Linked DNA regions of Coturnix japonica. The protein of the gene in region 1 purifies or fractionates together with the protein of each later gene. This does not show direct contact. Links are inferred from orthologs where the notes say so. Each region holds a gene or a part of one and is shown in the gene's direction. Other genes may lie near its edges. The genes, in order: RETREG1, GABARAPL1 and MAP1LC3A.

Region 1 (3,291 bases):
TACCGCTTTAAAAAGGAATATTCTTCAAATAATATTGAAAGGAGTTGTTCTCAAGCAGTTTTCCAAATCTCCACATAAATATTGCAAAATGACCTTAGGCAGAAAAATTTAATGTTGTGGGCTCACTGAAATGGAAAATGCAATATAGTTGAGTGCTTGGTTTATTTTTTTTTGTTCCTTTGTTTTACATTTCAATCATTTTTAATGGGATTGGAATGATTTCCTCACACGGTACAAGCTCAAATTCGAAGTCGGGTTGATATCAGGTGATGCAAAGTACTAGGTTTTTATTCTGTTTTAGATATAAGATAACACTCTTCTGTGTTAAGAGTACAGAAGATGATGAAATAATAAGTGTATTCAAAGGAAAATTGATGAGTTTCATTTTTACCTGTGGCTGCTTTTGGGGGGAAGCCTTTCTTGTTCGCTAACAGTTTCCCTTTGTTAATCTTATGATAGATTTTGACCGACCTAGTGATCACGAAGAAGCTTTCGCTAGAGAGCTCTCAGAATTCCCTTCTTTAGAAAATGGGGCAGGAACAAATGACGATGATGACTCAAGCATCGGTATGCCCATCCAGCAAAACAGAATAAAAGAACAAATGTCTTCAAAGGCGGAGCATTCTTCCAGACCGAGTAAAGAGAGACCATCCACTGCAGGGCTCTCCTTGCCTTTGACCAGTGACCAAACCTTTAATTTAATGAGCGGTATTGCTGGGGATGTCATCGCCGCCGCGGTGTCAGCTGCCATCAAAGACCAGCTGCAGTCTGTGCAGCCAGCTCCATCACACGCGGTGCCCAGCTTGAGTGAGGAGACAGACACCGAGGAAGCCGATGATTTTGAACTGCTTGACCAGTCTGAGCTTGAGCAGATTGAGAAAGAACTGGGACTTTCACAAGGCCAAGAAGCAGAATCCCAGGAAAAAAAGAAGTCTTCGGGCTTTCTTTCACATCTGCTTGGAAATCATTAACCTGGGAATTGCAGCTGGTGACATAAAGGAAATGAAACATAAAACACACAAAATCAAATGCAAAAAAAAAAAAAAAAAAAAAAAAAAGGAAAATTCTGAGCTGTAAGCTTTAACTATCACTTTAGATGTGTTGTAATAATTTCCCTTATGCAGAGTGAATTAACTGGATAAATATCAGCTGATACTGATAGTTAACGTTTCTGGTAGTTATACCTCAATGTAATAGCATGGAAATGAATTATCTATCCACCGTTCGGTCGCAGATGTGGGCTGGAGGTCAGTTGTTCAAAAGGATTGGGGGAGAGGTTTGTTTTATCTTATGCCAAACATGCACTTTGTGGTCCTGAGCCAAATTTTCAACATTGGTGATTGATTTACTCATAGTTGCCAACCATGCAATACAATTAATGGTTAACACAGCAAGGATGAGTTATCAGAGGATCGCAGCGAGAGTAACTAAATCTCACCTCCTTCAATCATGCCAGGAAGTATGACTCTCTGCAGTTACCGTTATGTATAGTGCATCTCCTACTTAAGAATGCATTAACCAGCGGAAGCCTAGTTTAAATGTGTGCACAGCACTATTGGAGAACTTGATTTAACACTTAAAAATCTTTGAGTTGTATTGGATATGGTGATGCATTTCCACGTTCTTTGCTGTTTTAGGCTTGTAGAGTTGTGAAGTGGCATGCTATGTGACTGACCACCTGCTGTGTTCCTTCAGAGTCTGGTCCTTGGCACTATTGCCTGTGTAAAGTCAGCCAGCACATTTTTATAGATGAGTTACTGTGTAATCTGAACAGCCTTTTGGGGAGCAGGTGGGATAGTTATTGTTCGGACTAGGGATGATATAAAAGCTAGAGGTAAAACGAAGGGCTTTTCTAGCTGCCACTTGCATAATTCCAAATGTTGGGGGGTCTGTTTCTGTTTTGTTTGTTTGTTTTGTTTTGTTTTTCCCCATAACAACTGCCATCACCGTCAAAGAAAGTTGTACAAGCTGGATCTTGTGAGATACTTAAAGTACTCAGTGATTTGCTATGGAAGACACTCAGAGTCTTTTTCCTGGCGTGTAATTGAAAACAAACAATCAAACAAAAATGAACTTGTTTCAGTGACTGACCATTTTAAACTCCACACGTGCACAGTGAATGGCATGGGATCTTAAGCAGGTTACTCGTTTAACTTTTCCTAGGGCTTCTTTGTTCACCTTTAACAAAATCAATACCACGCAATAGTAATCAAAGAAATAGAAAGAAGTAAAGCTAGTTTTTCTACTGTGACATAAACTGTTAGCAAAGTGGAGGGACCATGTCAGCTGCTACTACTACTACTGAAGTGATTTTCCATTTGCTGGCATTTTAAGAGGTGAATACTGTCATCTAGGACCCTCAGAAAGTTCAGCAACAGAGTATAACAATTCCCACTAACGTGTATGTGTAGGTAAACCTGTGTTTGAAGTTAACTCCATTCTAATTACTTTGTTCTTTTCCTGAGGTGAAAAGGTAGGCAGAAGGCCAGATGCATTGAAGCTAAAGGACAGATGCTGAGAAGTTTTGACACTGGCTTTATCGTCGCTTGTGCTTTTGTGTCAGTAATGCATATTGACTGTGTTTGCTGTCTTTTACCAGTAAAAAAAAAAAAGTGAGCCTGTGCCTTCATTATCAAATCCATTTCGAGTAAGTGGATGCTGGATATAGATCACCCAAGATGCTGCTTTTGAAATTATAGCATCTTACCATTAAAAGCAAGTTTCTGAAAGTTATTTGAAAAACATGGCCATGTCGCTTTCACACTGTTAAGTTTCCTTTTCAGCTTCCCCCAAGCCTGTCCTTCCCATTTGGAAAAATAGAAACAAAGGAAGCTTTGGCTGGGAAATCTTGAAGTTTAAAGGCCATTTATGTTTCTTAGACAAGAACGTTGTGTCCTTGCTCCTTGTGTAGGGCAGTAGATACAGTGAGAAGCCTACAGCTTCCAGATGCTGACCTTGCAGAGCTCCTAGACAAGGCGTGCTCTCTGAACAAGGGTGCTGGTGCCCAGGGAAAGGACAGGCTGCAGGATAGGGAGGGCTGGGGAGGCAGCAGTTCTTTGTGAGCTTGGCTGGAGTGGGTGGGTGAGAGTGGCCATCAGTGGTGGCATTGCAACAGCGTGCACTTTATTGTTGTTTTATGAAGAATACTTGTGGTCAAGAAAGTACCTAACACTGGGCAGTCTTCTAGGAGAATAAATTAGATCAAGGAGGATAATAAGGTTGGAGGAGTTTATTGGACGTTTTGTAAATGATCCATTTTCTGGTTTCAACATAGATGAGTTTTTCTCCAAT
Region 2 (4,243 bases), on another chromosome or scaffold:
TCATGCATGATGAGAGATCACAGTCACCACGGCTTGGAGAGAGCATTACCTCTGAATTCAAGAAGCAGTGGGCTATAGAGTGTAAAGGTGGGTGGTGGGCAATATATGATAAACAGCTCTCTCCAGGGCAGAGAGCACAAACTAGCACCCTAAATCTGCTGTGGGGATTTGCAGTAGGTCCTTCCCAGTGTTGGGATAACTCCTTCCCTTCAGGCAAGACTTATGTGTATAAGCATATAGGGATAAAGAAACCATTAATGTCTGAAGTACGAATTTCTTGGAGCAGTCTAAAAGATGTGTATGAGTATTTCTAGAAAAGGACCAGGGCTTCTTCCTGATCCTGTTCTCCTGATATTATTTTTATTACTTACTATTTTGTCACGATGCCCTTACAGAGCATTGCAATGGAGCATCCATCTTTCGTCTTCCACCATAAGTGCTTCCAAGATTACATGATTCCCCATCCATTATATTTCCACAGATAGTACATACTCATCAATTATACTTGAGACAACTAACTTACACACACTTAACACAGGTAGAGATGGATGAGATTTCCAGTCTTCTATTCCATGGTCTCTTCTACTGTCTAGTGTCCTTTTAGCATCATGGCAGTCCAATTGACAGTCTTTTACTTCATCCAGTGGTCTTCCTCACTTGTCCTCTAGATGAACTTTCTTCACTGATGCATGCTCGATAACGCATATTGTAAGTAATTTATAGGTACTAAAATTGTAACATTTGCTCACTCAGCACTTGGCCATTATTTCTGGACATCTGCTCATCCTTGGATAGAGATAAGTTTGGCAACCTGTCTTTTAGTGATATATACCGGGGTGTTAACTTCTTTTTAATAATATATACTGGGTTGTAGAAGGATAGAGGGGAAATCCTTGACACCTAGAGAAGGAGACAATTTGGCCTCATGTGGAGGTCTCAGCTTTCATTATTGCGTTTCTTTTGCTGAGGGTCTCTTGTCAAAACAGAACAGCTTTACAACACGTTTTCCAGTCCGTAATACTACACGCACACTATATCAATCACAACCACGTACAGAAGAGACTCATTGGACGGGGACACCTCTGACGGTGGTGCGTGGGTAACCCCTGAGTCACGCACATTATTTTGGTGGCTGTGTTTTTGTGGATTTTTTGATCTTTCTTTTAGAATTGTTACCATTAGGTAACCCGAAAAGCACAGTAACCGAATGTAAACACAAAGACCCAGCACATCCCCCCCCCACACACACACACACGAGACAGTGCCCCCACCCCGCTGCAATGCCGACAGTGCCGGAAGGGGAGGGTATGTCGCTGTGACGTCCCGCAACAGCACAGTGCGGGGCTGCGCTGCGCTGCGCTGGGTTTGCGTGCGCTGCGCGGGCGTAGTAGGGTTTGCTGAGTGCCCGGTCATAGGTGACGGAGGGACGGTAGTGGCCGGCTCGGTTGTGTCGCATCATGAAGTTCCAGTACAAGGAAGACCACCCGTTCGAGTACAGGAAAAAAGAAGGGGAGAAAATCAGGAAGAAATACCCCGACAGAGTCCCTGTGAGTGTGCTGGACGAGCGCTGCCCTCGGGCTGGCTGTGCAAATGTCGCCATTCTTTGCTGTCCTTGTCGTTGCCGTCTGCTGCTTTGCTTCTTTTGCAAGGAACGGGATTGGGAAAGATGACTTTGGCGTGTCGGTATTAATTCCGGATTGCTTTCTCTTTAGTGCCACCGTATTTGTTGTTCTACGCCAAGGTCCGTGGGTGGGTGTGGGGGTCTTTTTCGGGCATCCGCAGTAATTCGACAGCAAGAACGCTGTTAATCTTATTATGGCAGCCTATGCGTGTGGGGCTGGAGGGTGGGGAAGGAGCTTACGACTTGCTCTGGGAAAATGGAGGAGAACAATGAATGTGTGAAACAGGCGTTCTCTGTAAGGAAAAAAAAAAAGGCCTAAATCGCTGTTATCAGATGTTTTGTTTTTATTTTATACCTTTTTCTTTTTGGAGCTTGCTTTTCAGTGTAGTCCAGCTCCGTTCTTTTCAGCTTTGTGTTTTGCATGAGAGTTAAAAAGAGATGGATGCTCAATAATAATTCCCAGTCTTACTTCCCTACTCTTTAATCACCCAAAAAGCATCATTTGGAAAACAAGATCATTTTCGAGCTGAACTTTCCTTTCTTGTCCTTAGGACTGTCTGGAATCTCAGTGGAAAACTCCTGGCTTTATAATTTGTGGCAATAATTGCAAAAAGAAATAGTAACACTAGGGTTTATTTTGTTTGTTTTGTAACACTGGAGAGTTCTGTCCTAGATTGGGGTGACCAGAGGTGCAGTGTGCAAAAGAACTGTTTCACCTGAGCTTTTCCCTGTAGGATGAGAGTAATTGAGCATGCAGTGTATGCAGGTCTGTCTTTTGAGATGACGGCCACAGCAGGCTCAGCTGGTCAGGAGAGTGGCAGGTAATGCAGCAGGTCATGATAGAAGTGACTGGAAGAACTATGTGGAGAGCCCAGCAACAGACCTGGTCTGGCAAGGAGTAAAAATGCCAAGACAGAGGGGCTTTAGTAGAGTGTAATGGACAAAAACAGGATCAAACTAAGTGAGCTGTGCTGCAGCTAAGGGGAAGTGAAAACACTGCTTGGAGAGGCCTGGTGTGGATTGCTGGGGAAGGCTTGTTGTCAGAGCTGCACAGAGTGCAACAGACGTATTTAATCACTTCTGTCACTGCCCTTCACGACAGTAGGATCCTTGACAGCAATGTCCCATTGGCTGCTGGCACTTCACTGTTGTGATATGTCTGCATTTTGCTGAAATTATAATGCTGGCCCAGTCCATTGTTACCACAGTCACCCAGCAGCAACAGACATCAAGATAATATATCTGCCCTTTGGATTGTCTTTGTAAGTTTGTCTCTCTGTGCAAAGTAACCTTTAGAAGAGATACCTTGCCTGGGTTATCAGGGAAACTTACTACAGTTGATTATCTAGGAAAACACCTCCATTTTTCCCTCTTTGCAAGAGGGAGATCTGTCTCAAACTTGATTATTTAATTTGAATCCTTTCTAGGGGTTTAGAATCCTCAGAGCTCACCTTGTCCTCATAAATCAAGGTACCCCCTATCTTCTTTTCCTTTATCTAATGACTAAGCTACATGCCATCCTTTTGAGTCAGCTTGGTCCTGTCACTGTTGCTACCTGACAGTTCTGCTTACCAATCTTCTAAATTGAAAGCAAAAACTAAAGGCTTTTTTTCTACTTCAGTTTATTTGATGCTACCATGTAGCGTTTCAGGGTAAGAAAATAGGCAAAGTACTGTTGCTGGTCAGTCTGAAGCTGTGTAGTGAGGTTGTGCAACTACCTTTCCTTCACAACACTTGTCAATTTTATCTTGTATGGAAATGTATGTCCTAACACAAACTTAGTGTGAAAGAGCTCAGTTGCCTAGTAGTTGAGGTTCTTGAACTAGCAAACTACGTTTGTGTTTTAGGAAGAAACCTAGAATTTTCAGGGCTTTTGGCTGCATTGGAGGCATCTAAATGGAGAAGAGTATACAGGTATCCAAGCCAGCATCTCTACTGTGTGACATGCTTTGTGGATACTTGAATCTGGAACGAGGAGTGTTTGGTTGGAAAAAGTGCCATGCCAAGTTAATACACAAAGCTTATCATGTCTTTTTCCTTTGGTGTACTGTTTCATTGATGTGACAACACCATTTTCCTTCCAAAGAAGGAAGGAAACACGAAGCACAACAGTCCAGCCTTTACTATTGCACAGCTGACACAGCTGCTGATTTTGGCTTCCCAGGGAGGTGGTTGAATCGCCATCCCTGGATGTGTTTAAGAGCCGTTTGGATGTGGTACTCAGGGATATGATTTAGCAGAGGGTTGTTAGAGTTAGGGTACTATGGTTAGGCTGCGGTTGGATGTGATGATCTTCAGGGTCTTTTCCAACCTGAGCAATTCTATGATTCTTAGAAATTAGTCTCACAGTGTCTCAGGGAAGGTCAAAATGGTTTCTGAAGAACAGTAAGCCACATAGATTGAATCATGTAATATATCTCTCTACTTGATCAAAAATACATACCAGGAAAAAAAACAAACCTACCAGTGGCTGCATTTTCTTTCCACATGCACACAGTATTTCCATGGAAACGTGTCACCAAGCTTTGGAAAGGTTTCCAAGCCTTTTCATATTCATGTCACTTGGGAATAGTTCCTATTTCAGAGATAGGAATTTTGCCTGGCTCTGGTAACAAAAAGAAA
Region 3 (4,301 bases), on another chromosome or scaffold:
GCAAACAAACCCTGATGCATTAAGAGGCTGATGAGGGGGGTTTGAAGTATGGCTCAGGGCTGCAAGCAGCAGCACTTGTAGCCCAAGATCTCTTTGTCCAGCTGAGATAAGGCCGTGGCAGAGGAATGGAGGTGACAGCACTTAAGAGATCGCAAAAGATAGACTTGTGGAAACATCTGTTCATCTTCAGACACGTCTTTCAGCTGCTATGGGCAGCAGCTATTTGTCTGCCTGAGATGGCTGAGCAGCACTCCTTTCACACACAGGAGCTTTATTTACCTTGTCTTAAAGCTTTTGCTGTGCATTGCTATGTCTGTAGGGAATGAAAGCAAGGCCTACAGCAGGCCAAGCTGGCTGTGTGTTAGCAGAGTGCCCCGACCTGCACAGGCTGCATGCAGAGCTGTGGTGTGCGGGGGCTGCAGGGCACTGAGCTCTGACAGCACCAACACTGCAGGAGTCTGAGCGTCATCAGGTCTGTGTTGACAGTAATACACTACTTCAGCAGCACAACAGCATTCCTCGGGGAGGCTCCAAGCTGTCACAAACATGCAGGGTGCTCATTACCAGCAGTGCTCACCCTGCTGGAATGCTGGCATTGTAAAGCTGGCTGTTGATCGTGGGTTGCTATAGGGCTGCTTGCTGCTGCTGGGTTGGTCTGTCTACCTGTTCCTCGTCAAAAGTGGGTTAGTGCTTAACAACAGTAACAAATTCAGTGAGCCTGCAGTCTGCAATGTCAGTCCATCTGCCTTATCTCAGTCAGTACCGCAACTTCTTTCCCTTCTGCATTTTTGGATGGCCAGGACCCTTTTGATCATCAGAGCACTTTTAAAAGATGCAGTGGGAGCCTTTCTGTCCCTTTGAAGCAGGGATGTACTCAATGTCTGCCCACCATGGGGGGTTGTTTTGGAGCACAGCGCTCATTGCAGCGTGCCTTCACGGGGACATGCAGTGTGGCTCTCTGCAAAACACCGTCACCGTTTGCAGCTGGGTTTGATTCGTTCACGGCTCTAGAAATAGCCCGCTCTATTTGTAGCCGTGATTTGCTCTGCAAGGTATGCGGGCTGTGTGTGCAGCGGGGGGAGACGGGCTGCTCCGGGGCGTGCGGGGCAGTAAGAGGAGGGGACGGGGACTGAGTACATGGGCAGAGCGGGGGACGGGGGCGGCTTTAACTAGAACAGGGAAGATTCAGGTCGGATGAGCGGAGGGAATCCTACACCCGCAGGCGGTGCGGCCCCGGCCCTGGGCAGCCCGGGCTGGGGGAGCGGCTCAGGTGCGCACGGAGCAGCGCTCAGCGATGTGCTGCGGGAGGGGAAAGCGGCTCTTGGGGTGTGAGCGGGGCCCGAAAGGCCGCGATTGAAAACGGGATCGATGACTCGGCGCTCATCGCACCGGGCGGCACCGCCCCACGGACACGTCACGTGACACGTCACGGCCCTCCGCCCGCCCCGGTGACGTCACCGCCCGCTCCGCCGCAGCCGCCACACGGAGCCGCCGCCGGCACCTGCGACCCGGCCCGGCCGCCGCCGCCGCCGCCAACACCACCGCCATGCCCTCGGAACGGCCCTTCAAGCAGCGCCGCACCTTCGGTGAGCGGACGGCGGGGCGATGTGCGCGGGAGCTGCGTGCGCAGCGATCGGGGGGCGAGGATGGGGCCGCGCGGTGCCGCGGGGCGGGCGGTGCCCTCCGGCCGGGCTATACCGGGCTGTGCGGGGCTGTACGGGGCTGTGCGGGGCTGTACGGGGCTGTACGGAGCTGTACGGGGCTGTGCGGAGCTGTACGGAGCTGTACGGAGCTGTGCGGGGCTGTACGGAGCTGTACCGGGCTGTGCCGGGCTGTACGGGGCTGTACCGGGCTGTACCGGGCTGTACGGGGCTGTACCGGGCTGTACCGGGCTGTACGGGGCTGTACCGGGTTGTACCGGCGGCCCTCGGGCTCCTTGTCCTCCTCCCGCAGCCCGAACGCACCCGCGTAGCGCGGCGGTCCCCCCCCACCCCCCGTTTCTTATTGTGGCACCGCCCGGAGCCGCGACCCCTTCGCCCCGCTGTGGCGGCGGGCTGAGCCCCTTCGGCTGCGGGTGGGCGGCCGAACCTTCGCGCACCGCCCGGTGCCCCCGCCCGGCTGGGGGTCGCTGTGCCGAGGACCCCGCGCTCCGCACCCTGTGCTGCCGGGCCCGGCGGGTTCCGCGCTCGCGTGGAAACATCGTTGTGCTGAATGTGGGCGGTGGGCGATGTGACCGTACGGGGCGATGTGACCGTACGGGGCGATGTGACCGTACGGGTCGGTGTTACCGTACGGGGCAATGTTACCGTACGGGGCAGTGTTACCGTACGGGCAGTGTTACCGTACGGGGCAGTGTTACCGTACGGGTCAGTGTTACCGTACGGGTCAGTGTTACCGTACGGGGCAGTGTTACCGTACGGGGCAGTGTTACCGTACGGGGCAGTGTTACCGTACGGGGCAGTGTTACCGTACGGGCAGTGTTACCGTACGGGGCAGTGTTACCGCACGGGGCGATGTTACCGTACGGGTCAGTGTTACCGCACGGGGCGCCGCGTCGTGCCTTGCCCGGCAGAGCGGCAGCTGCTGCTCCCCCTGACCTTTGCCGGCCGAACCCCGCGGCCACACGGCGCTTGGCTGGAGTTTTCTATTAAAAGCAGCAGAATCCCGAGTGCCGCCCGTATCTCTGCCCGCTGCTCCGCCGTGGCAGCCGGCATCGCGGGCGGGAGGAGCCGGCTTTGCCTTTGCACGTTGCTCAGGCTGGAGGAAAACAAAAGTCGAGGCTCGGAGTGACCGAAGGAGAGCGGGACTGAAATAGCGCAGGAGGGAAAGGGGGGGAGACGGAGTCGGGTGCTGTGTGACCGCGGGTGTCTGCGCCGTCCTGTGCCCTTTGGCTCCCGGCTGATGTGCAGAGCTCAGCGGGACGAGGAGGAAGAGGAGGCGGCCCGGCGCCCGCTCGGCTGCTTTGGGTCGGGGCTGGGATCGCTCCGCTGGAGAAAGTAAACAGCGCTTGTTTTCGTCTTCAGCTCGTTGCACAACGGGAGCAGGAAGCGATTGTTGACAGTGCCGCTGGAGACGGACGATGGAAAATATTTCCAGTGACACTGCACCCTCAGAACGGCGCTGTTTGTAAGGCCGCAGAGCTGGAGAGAAGTGGAACGGCTCCAAAAGAACAGAACAGGCAGAGTCAGAGTGTGGCTGTTTACAAGAGCCGCCCAAGGCTCCGGTGTCACGGCACGTGGCTCGGTGAGGCCTTGGCCCGCTGCCCCGTGCTGACGCTCTGCTGTGCTTTGTGCCCATTTTCCCCCTTCTTGTAGTGTTGAGGTTTGTTTTTCTATGGGGTTTCTTCTGTTTGCCCATCTGCTTTGTCTCAGGTCTGTTCTGAATACATTTTATGGAGCTCAGTGTGATGCTGTTGAGGACTTAAGTCCAACGCTGGGGCATGCGGCGTCCCCCTGGTGTCTGATGCACATCAGAGGGGGCTCTGCTGGGGTTGTGCTCCCCGCTGTGGCTGTGGCTGTATCTTTGGGCTGGGGGTGAGATCTGATGGAGCCCCTCAGCTGCCACGTGCAAACCTGCCTGTGAATGCTGAGGGAGCTGCGTTCTGCTTAGTCAGATCCATGGTAGGAGTCCAGACCAATTCCCAGAGTGAAGCTGTGCTCTGTGTCAGAGGAGCAGGCTGTCCTGGCTGCAGCCATGTGTGCAACCTGCTGACCCTGCGCTGCTTCCTGTGAAAGGTGCATCTTTGGGCTGGATGCTCCCATCCCAGGTGCAGTTTTCTGTGCCTTCAGTTCTGGCAGTGCACTTCTCATGTGGAAAAGGCAGCAGTCGGTAAGAGCAGCACATAGAACTGAAGAGTGGCCTTCACCAGGTGGCAGCAGGGTGAGGAAGGGGATTGTCCCCCTGTGATCAGCTCCTGTGAGACCCCACCTTGGTTTTGCATCCAGCCCTGGGGCTGCTGGCACAGGAAGGACGTGGAGCTGCTGCAGGAGGTCCAGAGGAGGACACAAAGGTGCTCAGAGGGCTGGAGCATCTCTGCTATGGAGTCTGGCTGAGGGAGCTGGGAGTGTTCTGCCTGAAGGAGGGAAAGCTGCGGGGAGACCTCATTGCAGCCTTGCAATGTTTAAAGGGAGATTATAAACAGGAGGAAAATCAACTTTTTACACATGTAGATGGTGATAGAACGAGGGGAAACAGCTTTAAACTAGAGGGAAGATTCAGATTAGATGTCAAGGGGAAGATTTTCACTGAGAGGGCAGTGCAGCCCTGGCACTGCTGCTCAGAGCTGGGGGTTTTCTGTTCCT

Evidence for each region.
Region 2: the proteins of RETREG1 (region 1) and GABARAPL1 purify together in Homo sapiens (affinity purification with western blotting; 3 studies listed by BioGRID and IntAct, with this or other methods). This does not show direct contact. The link is inferred for Coturnix japonica from reciprocal best matches to the Homo sapiens genes RETREG1 and GABARAPL1.
Region 3: the proteins of RETREG1 (region 1) and MAP1LC3A purify together in Homo sapiens (affinity purification with western blotting; 3 studies listed by BioGRID and IntAct, with this or other methods). This does not show direct contact. The link is inferred for Coturnix japonica from reciprocal best matches to the Homo sapiens genes RETREG1 and MAP1LC3A.

The regions. Positions count from the first base shown.
Region 1 is NC_029517.1:54,602,929-54,606,219, reverse strand, and holds the end of RETREG1 (reticulophagy regulator 1), read left to right. Parts: intron 1-459; coding exon 460-971; 3' UTR 972-2,729; downstream 2,730-3,291. UniProt on the Homo sapiens protein: Endoplasmic reticulum (ER)-anchored autophagy regulator which mediates ER delivery into lysosomes through sequestration into autophagosomes.
Region 2 is NC_029516.1:70,390,168-70,394,410, reverse strand, and holds the start of GABARAPL1 (gamma-aminobutyric acid receptor-associated protein-like 1), read left to right. Parts: upstream 1-1,318; 5' UTR 1,319-1,457; coding exon 1,458-1,547; intron 1,548-4,243. UniProt on the Homo sapiens protein: Ubiquitin-like modifier that increases cell-surface expression of kappa-type opioid receptor through facilitating anterograde intracellular trafficking of the receptor. Involved in formation of autophagosomal vacuoles.
Region 3 is NC_029535.1:1,283,207-1,287,507, reverse strand, and holds the start of MAP1LC3A (microtubule-associated proteins 1A/1B light chain 3A), read left to right. Parts: upstream 1-1,458; 5' UTR 1,459-1,546; coding exon 1,547-1,586; intron 1,587-4,301. UniProt on the Homo sapiens protein: Ubiquitin-like modifier involved in formation of autophagosomal vacuoles (autophagosomes). While LC3s are involved in elongation of the phagophore membrane, the GABARAP/GATE-16 subfamily is essential for a later stage in autophagosome maturation.